Zea mays: one gene and its partner. The protein of the gene in region 1 interacts with the protein of each later gene in a biochemical or structural test. Links are inferred from orthologs where the notes say so. Each region holds a gene or a part of one and is shown in the gene's direction. Other genes may lie near its edges.

Region 1 (3,827 bases):
GACCCCGTTGCCTATCGGAGCCTTATTGACGTTCTTCAATACTTCACCTTTACCAAACCCGACATTGCGTATGTGGTCTAGCAGGTATGTATCTGCATGCACGATCCCCGGGAGTCGCGCGGTCAAGTGGATCCTCTGGTACCTTGAGGGTACTGTTGACTACTGGCTTCTTCGTTGCTCCTCCACACTTGAGCTTGTTGTCTACACCGACTCTGATTGGGCTGGGTGCCTGGACACCTGTCGGTCCACCTTCGGCTACACGGTGTTCCTTGGGGATAACCTCTTCTCTTGGTCCTCCAAGCGGTAGCCCGGGATTCCCACTCTAGTGTTAAGGCCGAGTACCGGGCTGTTGCTAATGGTGTGGTTGAGGCGTGCTGGCTACGCTAGCTCCTTCTGGAGCTTTACAACCCCCTCTTCAGGAGCACACTTATCTACCGCGACAACGTCAGCACCATCAATCTCTTTATCAACCCCCGTCCAACATCAGCGAATGAATCATGTTGAGATCTATCTTCACTTCGTCCGTGAGCACGTGGCCGTCAAGGATGTTCGTGTTCATCATGTCACGACGCACTCGCAGTTTGTCGACATTTTCACTAAGGGTCTTCCCTTGTTCTTGGATTTTCGATCCAGTCAACATTTGTCGTGGCTAGAGTTTCGAATGCAGGGGGTGTTAGATTATGTGTGTGTTATGGGCCTAGAGCCCAGCCAATTAGGGGTAGACTATATGTACCTCTTGTAACACTGAAGCCCATCTATAGATTAGGGTTTTCCCACACACTGTAATATGTACCTTGTAAGCTATTTGTTAAGCACTGTTCTTTATTTGCTGATTATTTACTATAAATCCTTTTATTTTTAGGCAATGGGCCCTATTCAAGTTAGATATGCTGATGGTGAAAGGGAACGACATGGTAATGCTATGATCTTTAGTAGTTTACCTATTAATGACCTGTGTATGTTGTATATTATACTGGTTTTGAGGCAACCTTAACATGCCTTGCTTTATATGCACATTTTTTTGAAAATTCTATGATTATTATTTTATTTAAACCATATGTTCAAAAGGTGCATATTCAACACTAGTTCTTTTTTCTCGACTATGCTGGAGAGATGCACATTGCATTAATAATAAGAGAGTACAAAACACCCTCTACACCCATAGTCCCACACACAAATACCTCTACATAGTGCCAGCTTCTCTAGATTTTGGCACCGTATCTCTACATGTCACTTATCACATTGTTTGTTATAGCATACTAGTATGCAAAGACAACGAAATGGGTCTCTAGCTGAGTTGGTTAGGTGATCTGAGCAGTACTCTTTAGGTCTTGAGTTTGACTCCCCGTGGGAGCGAATTTCAGGCTGGATTAAAAATAATCCCCACGTCTGTTCTACACTAAAGCATAGGTCTAAGGTTTGGCCTTGGCCGTGGTCGTTCTCATAGGCTACGGTGTCACTGTGTATGGGTGGGGCATGGGTTTGGGGGTTTTCTTGACCTTGTATGAGAGGCTCTTCTTAATACAATGCCTGGGGTTGTCTTACCCCTGAGTTTTTTAGTATGCAGTGGCAAATTTATTGTGCATTCCCAATCTTGTTTTTACATTGCACAGTTACATGTATGTGTTCCTTGATCAATTTACATGTGACTTTTATTCTGATTCTGCATTTTTTTCTTTATCTGAAAACACTATTCATTCAAGGATTCTTTATTATTTTGTTCTTGTAATCTGAGTTATGTAATCATATTTAGAAAGCAAACTAAGCTTGGTTCGTTAAAATAGTTGTTTTTCTTCAGATCTTTTGTTTGTGGTACTTATTGGGCAATCTCATCAGTTTCTGTGACAAATTTACTAGGGGCCATCGAGCACAAATTATTTGTTGCGTCCCTCAATAAGCAAGCAACTCCAAAGGAGATTGAAGAGGTAAGTAGGTTGAATTTCTTATTTTCCTTTCTGTTCCTTGATGATTTCGCGATTTGCTTATCTGAGAGGGTAGTATAGATTTAGAAAGTACTGCTCGGTGTCAATAATCAACTGTGATGCTGTACTCTTATCTGCATTTGAGGACATGATTAACACAAATTTAGTAGCTTGCTTTTCCAAGGATTGATGATAAAGGCATACAATTTTCAGATATTTGCCCCATATGGTCATGTGGAAGATGTTTACATTATGAGAGATAGCGTGAAGCAGAGCCGAGGTTTGTGAATACGTGTTTGCTTTAGTTATACTGTTCCATTGCAACCTTTTGTTTTAACTTGTAATATATGTAATATAAAGGTTGTGGCTTTGTCAAATTCTCATCAAAAGAGGCAGCAGTGGAAGCTATGAATGCCCTTAGTGGGACTTACACAATGAGGGTAAATTTCTCTGCCAACTGCCATATTGTGTTTAGCTTTCTGGATACTTATGATGTATTTGTTTCTGTATTAGGGGTGCGAGCAACCATTAATCATTAGATTTGCTGATCCTAAGAGGCCTAGACCTGGAGAATCAAGGTGATTAACAACTGTGACTGTCTTTGTTGCATATCATATGCTATTTTATTTACTCAAGATTAAGTATAATCATTTTTTTGATGAAACAAGTATAATAATTACCATTCCTATTTTCTGCTTTACCTTCCTGGTTAGGGGTCGCCCTGCATTTGGAGGTCCTGGTTTCAGTCCTCGATCGGATGCAGCACTTGTTATCAGGTGTCAGTTCACTACTTATTCAGTATTTTTTCTCAAGAACATTTAAATTAAGATGTTAATGAGATGAAACTGGCATGGTCCCCTCGCACACGAGTTGCTGATGCTAAGGGTGTCTACTGAAGTGCATTTGTCGAAACGAAATATTAACTCCGGAATAACACAATAGCTCTGAAATAATCTGCAAAAGATGTTTAGTGCGTGTTTGTTTCAGTTTAAATGCAGATTCTGATCGCCAGAAGCTGTTGTGGACTGCCAAACACCCAACTTTTTAGCCTGCTTCTATGGGAATCACTTTGGTGAAAATCATCTAAAATCAGCGTGAACACACAATCGGTCAAGTCGTCACGATAGGAGGAATCTGTCACTTCTTAGACCTAAACCCTATGGACCCCTTCATCTTTCTCCGACGTAATCCCCACGATACTCAGATTCTCCCCACAGCCAGATTCTCCCTACAGACAAATTCTCAGCAAAGCTCGTCAGAAAAAAACTGAACCAAACAAGCCCTTAGAGTAGGGATGGATAAGGTATTATGATATATAGACAACAATGAAATGACTGAAAGTGAAACAAGTGCTAGCTTCTGTGTATTTTCTACCTTACCTAATCTGTCTAAGAATCAATTGAACTAATTTCTTAATCATATCTTCTGCTCCTTTTTTATATATGTCATCTAAGTCAAGCTATTTGTTTATCTTCGAACTAATTAGCTTGTCCTAAAGGTCTAAATGGCTAAACATATTATATTTACATTTTTTTTTCAAAAACGTAGGAGAACTGTGTATCTTTATAGATAAGATAGAAGAAAGGGTCTTACAAGTGAGGTACAAGTTAGGGACACCTGCACCCACACGCACACACGGACAAACAAAACAAACAGCAGATTAAAACAAAAACAATCAATTATGGCTCGACCTGACCTCCTTAAGGGCATCAGCTAGTCCTAAGACACCTAGCTGCTTTGCCCCAGCCATCACCCAACAGGATAATTCTTTTAGGAAGCTACTTTTCATCTTTCCGAAGGAGGGTGACTCTATCAAAAACAACCTGGTTCTTCTGCAGCCATAGACACCAAGCCCCGAGTATGACAGCGCTGTTAAGGCCCTTCTTCATGTCTTTGTGACTCCTA
Region 2 (3,827 bases), on another chromosome or scaffold:
AGGACCGACTAGTCCGACTAATCGCGACTAATCGCGATTAGTCGGACGACTTGAAATCACTGAGTACACTACAAACCAGGTAAATATTGTCAAGAAACTGTGCTGTCTTATTAATTTTGTCTATTTTAGTTTGTTGATTATGACAATCTGTAGCATAATTATCACTTTAATCAACATCCATCCACTTCTATTATTTTCATCCACTTGGGGTATAATACAATTTTATTTGTGGATAAAGTGGACCCCTACAGGCCGTCGACTTATCACTGGATCACAAAGTGGTGAATTTACGCTATGGAATGGGCAATCTTTTAACTTTGAAATGATACTTCAGGTATTCCACATTAATTATTTTGGACTTACTAATATGTGATAGTTTTAACTTAGTTTTTGGAGAAATCTGACAATCAGGCTCATGATCTACCTGTGAGATCAATGGTTTGGAGTCACAATGAAAACTGGATGGTGACGGGAGATGATGGTGGTGCAATCAAGTACATGTCCCTTCGCTTTCGTACCTTCAAGAAAAATCGTCATTTTGAACTGTACATTGTTTAACTCTTCAGCTGAACCTTTTGAATTCTTCTCCAGGTATTGGCAAAGTAACATGAACAACGTCAAAGTGAATAAAACAGCTCATAGAGAATCAGTTCGTGGTTTAAGGTGATGGCTGTATGATGCACTTTTTATTGTTTGCTACAAAGTTCATGTTCAATGTGTGCTGAAACATGTCCTTCAAACAGTTTTTCCAGGACAGACTTAAAATTCTGCTCCTGCTCCGATGACCGAACAGTGAAGGTTTGGGACTTCGCAAGATGCCAAGAGGAAAAATCATTAACTGGTAATGTTGCTAAAATTTTCTTGCAAATATTAATCTGGCATACAGCTGATTATTTGAAGTTATTATGTGATATTACGCGAAAGGGCCTTTAGCTGTGTTGGTTAGGTGGTCTGAGTAGCACTTCTCAGGTCTTGAGTTTGACTCCCCGTGTGAGCGAATTTTAGGTTGAGGTTAAAAAAACCCTCTCGTCTGTCCCACGCTAAAGCACAGGCCTAAGGCTCGGCCCTGGTCATGGACTCGCGGTCGTTCTCACATGGGCTACGGTGCCGCGGTGTATGGGTGGGCTACGGTGCCGCTGCGTATGGGTGGGGTAGGGGTTCGGGGTTTTCTCGACCTGCGTGAGAAGATCTTCTTAATGTAATACCTGGGGGCTGTCTTACCCCGTGGGTCGAGTTTTTATTATGTGATATTACTTTGTTTTTTCATCAAATAACCTGAATTTCCCTTCAACTCAGCCAGGCCACGGTTGGGATGTTAAAACTGTCGATTGGCATCCTACAAAGTCTTTACTGGTTTCAGGTTAGTATATGTTTGTTCTTGTTTAATGAGTTTATTCATGCGGGACTTATTCAATTCTGTGTCCATAGGTGGCAAAGACTATCTTGTGAAACTTTGGGATGCAAAAAGTGGCAGAGAGCTGAGCTCATTGTCGGTATTCCTGCCACTTCCATATTTTGTTAATTCTTGAAGATCTGTGTTACATTATGATTTATATCTGCAGCCATGGTCATAAAAATATTGTGCATTGCGTGAAGTGGAATCAGAATGGGAACTGGGTACTGACTGCCTCGAAGGATCAGATTATTAAGGTCTGTTGCTTGTTCTTTTGTACTTTGGTCTGTTTTTCTTGTCTTCAAAGAACTGATGGCAGTGTACACGCTATAACCAAAATTCTAGTGCTGTCTATGGAGATGGGCCAATCCATCCTTGTGAGCAAATGATGGCAGTAAATTATTAACTTTTGGTACGTTTGCTAATGCTATCACTAATTCGTTTTGCAGCTGTATGATATTAGATCCATGAAAGAGCTGCAATCCTTCCGTGGGCACACCAAGGACGTCACTGGTTAGATAGCTGTTCCAATATCAAGATTTTTATAATTTATATACCCCTTCACATATTTTAAGCTTCAAAAATTGACACAAGTTTTGGATGTACTAGTTCATTTGTTCATTGTAACCATACATTCTATGATTGTTAGAACAGTGGCTAAAAAATTTCTAGAAAGGTATGGTGCCCACACTTGTTTGCCAAGGTTGTACTGAATATGTATTCGGTTACTTCATTTTTACAGCATTGGCGTGGCACCCATTTCATGAAGAATATTTTGTTAGTGGGAGCTTTGATGGAGCTATATTTCATTGGTTAGTCGGGTAAGGTATCCATAGCATAATTGAAATTACTGATCTTTGTCACCCTTGGAATTTGCTACTTTGTGCTAAGTTATTCAATTCTTTTCACCCTCCAAGATCGACGTACAACTTTTTATGTCTTTTGTTGTCTGAAAATAATGTCTCAAGTCTCAACTTGATGAGCAAGCTGTTTCATTTTTTTGTCAGCCATGAAGCTCCACAGATTGAAATAAGTAATGCACATGACAGTAGTGTCTGGGATCTTTCGTGGCATCCTGTAGGCTATCTACTTTGCAGGTACTTGGCTTGCTTTTGAATTTTGTATTGTAACACTTTATGACATGTTTGCTTATTTTACTGTAATGCATACATAATCTGAATTTATTTTCAATACAATTTGTTTCATTTGTTTAATGCTTTAGTTGTATGTGAACTCATTAAAAATCAAATATTTGATTTATTTTGTAGTGGAGGCAATGATCACGCTACAAAGTTCTGGTGTAGAAACAGGCCTGGTGATCTTACCCGTGATAGATACAACAGTGGCCAAATGCAAGGTTGCCTTTATTTGAATTTAGCTCGTTATTTCATCTCATTTGTCCTGTTTTGGTCATAAAACAATAACATATTAGACATATACTCTTGCACTTGCATGTACATGTATAATTGTATACACCCCCTTCCAATATCACTATTTAGTTCGTCTATTACTTGCTTCACACAGACAGGTGTTTAATGGTGTTTATGTGCTGCCTTGTGACCTTTTCCTTCCAAAGAAGGAATTCTTAATGCATAGATTATGACTTTTTTCAGGTTTTGGTGACCAACATGCTGCTTTTGGTGCTCGTGGTATGGGTGGATTCCAGATGCCTGAACCTCCAATAACGCCTGGACCATTTGCTCCTGGATTGTCACGCAATGAAGGTACCATCCCTGGCATTGGGGTTGCAATGACCTTGGCAGGCCAGTCTTTTGATGGATCTGATGGAGAGCAGAGGCCATCTATTCCGGGTCTTCCACCTGGGCAACCCCCGCTGCCACCAGGTCCTCATCCATCACTTCTTGGGCAGCAACAACAGTATCAACAGATACCTCAGCAGCAACATCCCCAGTTTTCGCAGCCACCACCTCCGAACATGCCCCAACTGCAGGCACCAGCTCACATGCTTTCACATTCACAAGGATCTCGGCCTACTCTTCCCCAGCTTCCACCAATGGGTGGACCATCAGTGCCATCACAAGTGAACCCACCGCTTCCGCCTATGCCTCACCCAACGGTACTGTTCATTGATACCTTTACAACGTTGTTAAACTGAGGGAGGTACAACTGTTTACTTAGCATGTTCTGTCTTTCTATTTATCTGAGCTGATAAGTGATAATCGAAAACCAAATGCCTCGTCTGCAAACCTTGCAAGTTTGCATCAAAAGACCGTTTTCAGTGAACTTGTTTTTTTTTCTCAAAGAAAAAAAAACTCCAATTGACCTTCAAAATTGTTAGCATGTCTGCTTTAGTTTGAGATAAGCATGAATATGTATGAATTTGATATGACACATGAATACATCTGAGTTTAAGGTGAAGAATTGTTAGAATACCCGTTTAGGGTTTGGGTCTTCCCCGTGTAATGACCATCTC

What was found.
Region 2: the proteins of Flowering time control protein FCA-like (region 1) and WD repeat-containing protein 33 form a complex in vitro, tested with the Arabidopsis thaliana proteins (3 studies listed by BioGRID). The link is inferred for Zea mays from reciprocal best matches to the Arabidopsis thaliana genes FCA and FY.

The regions. Positions count from the first base shown.
Region 1 is NC_050097.1:167,394,634-167,398,460, forward strand, and holds part of Flowering time control protein FCA-like, read left to right. Parts: intron 1-862; coding exon 863-914; intron 915-1,857; coding exon 1,858-1,925; intron 1,926-2,135; coding exon 2,136-2,202; intron 2,203-2,282; coding exon 2,283-2,362; intron 2,363-2,435; coding exon 2,436-2,500; intron 2,501-2,635; coding exon 2,636-2,698; intron 2,699-3,827. UniProt on the Arabidopsis thaliana protein: Plays a major role in the promotion of the transition of the vegetative meristem to reproductive development. Plays a role in the regulation of flowering time in the autonomous flowering pathway by decreasing FLOWERING LOCUS C mRNA levels.
Region 2 is NC_050098.1:151,290,843-151,294,669, forward strand, and holds part of WD repeat-containing protein 33, read left to right. Parts: intron 1-238; coding exon 239-334; intron 335-411; coding exon 412-494; intron 495-591; coding exon 592-663; intron 664-743; coding exon 744-841; intron 842-1,300; coding exon 1,301-1,360; intron 1,361-1,428; coding exon 1,429-1,489; intron 1,490-1,562; coding exon 1,563-1,650; intron 1,651-1,842; coding exon 1,843-1,906; intron 1,907-2,135; coding exon 2,136-2,214; intron 2,215-2,400; coding exon 2,401-2,490; intron 2,491-2,661; coding exon 2,662-2,750; intron 2,751-3,006; coding exon 3,007-3,470; intron 3,471-3,827.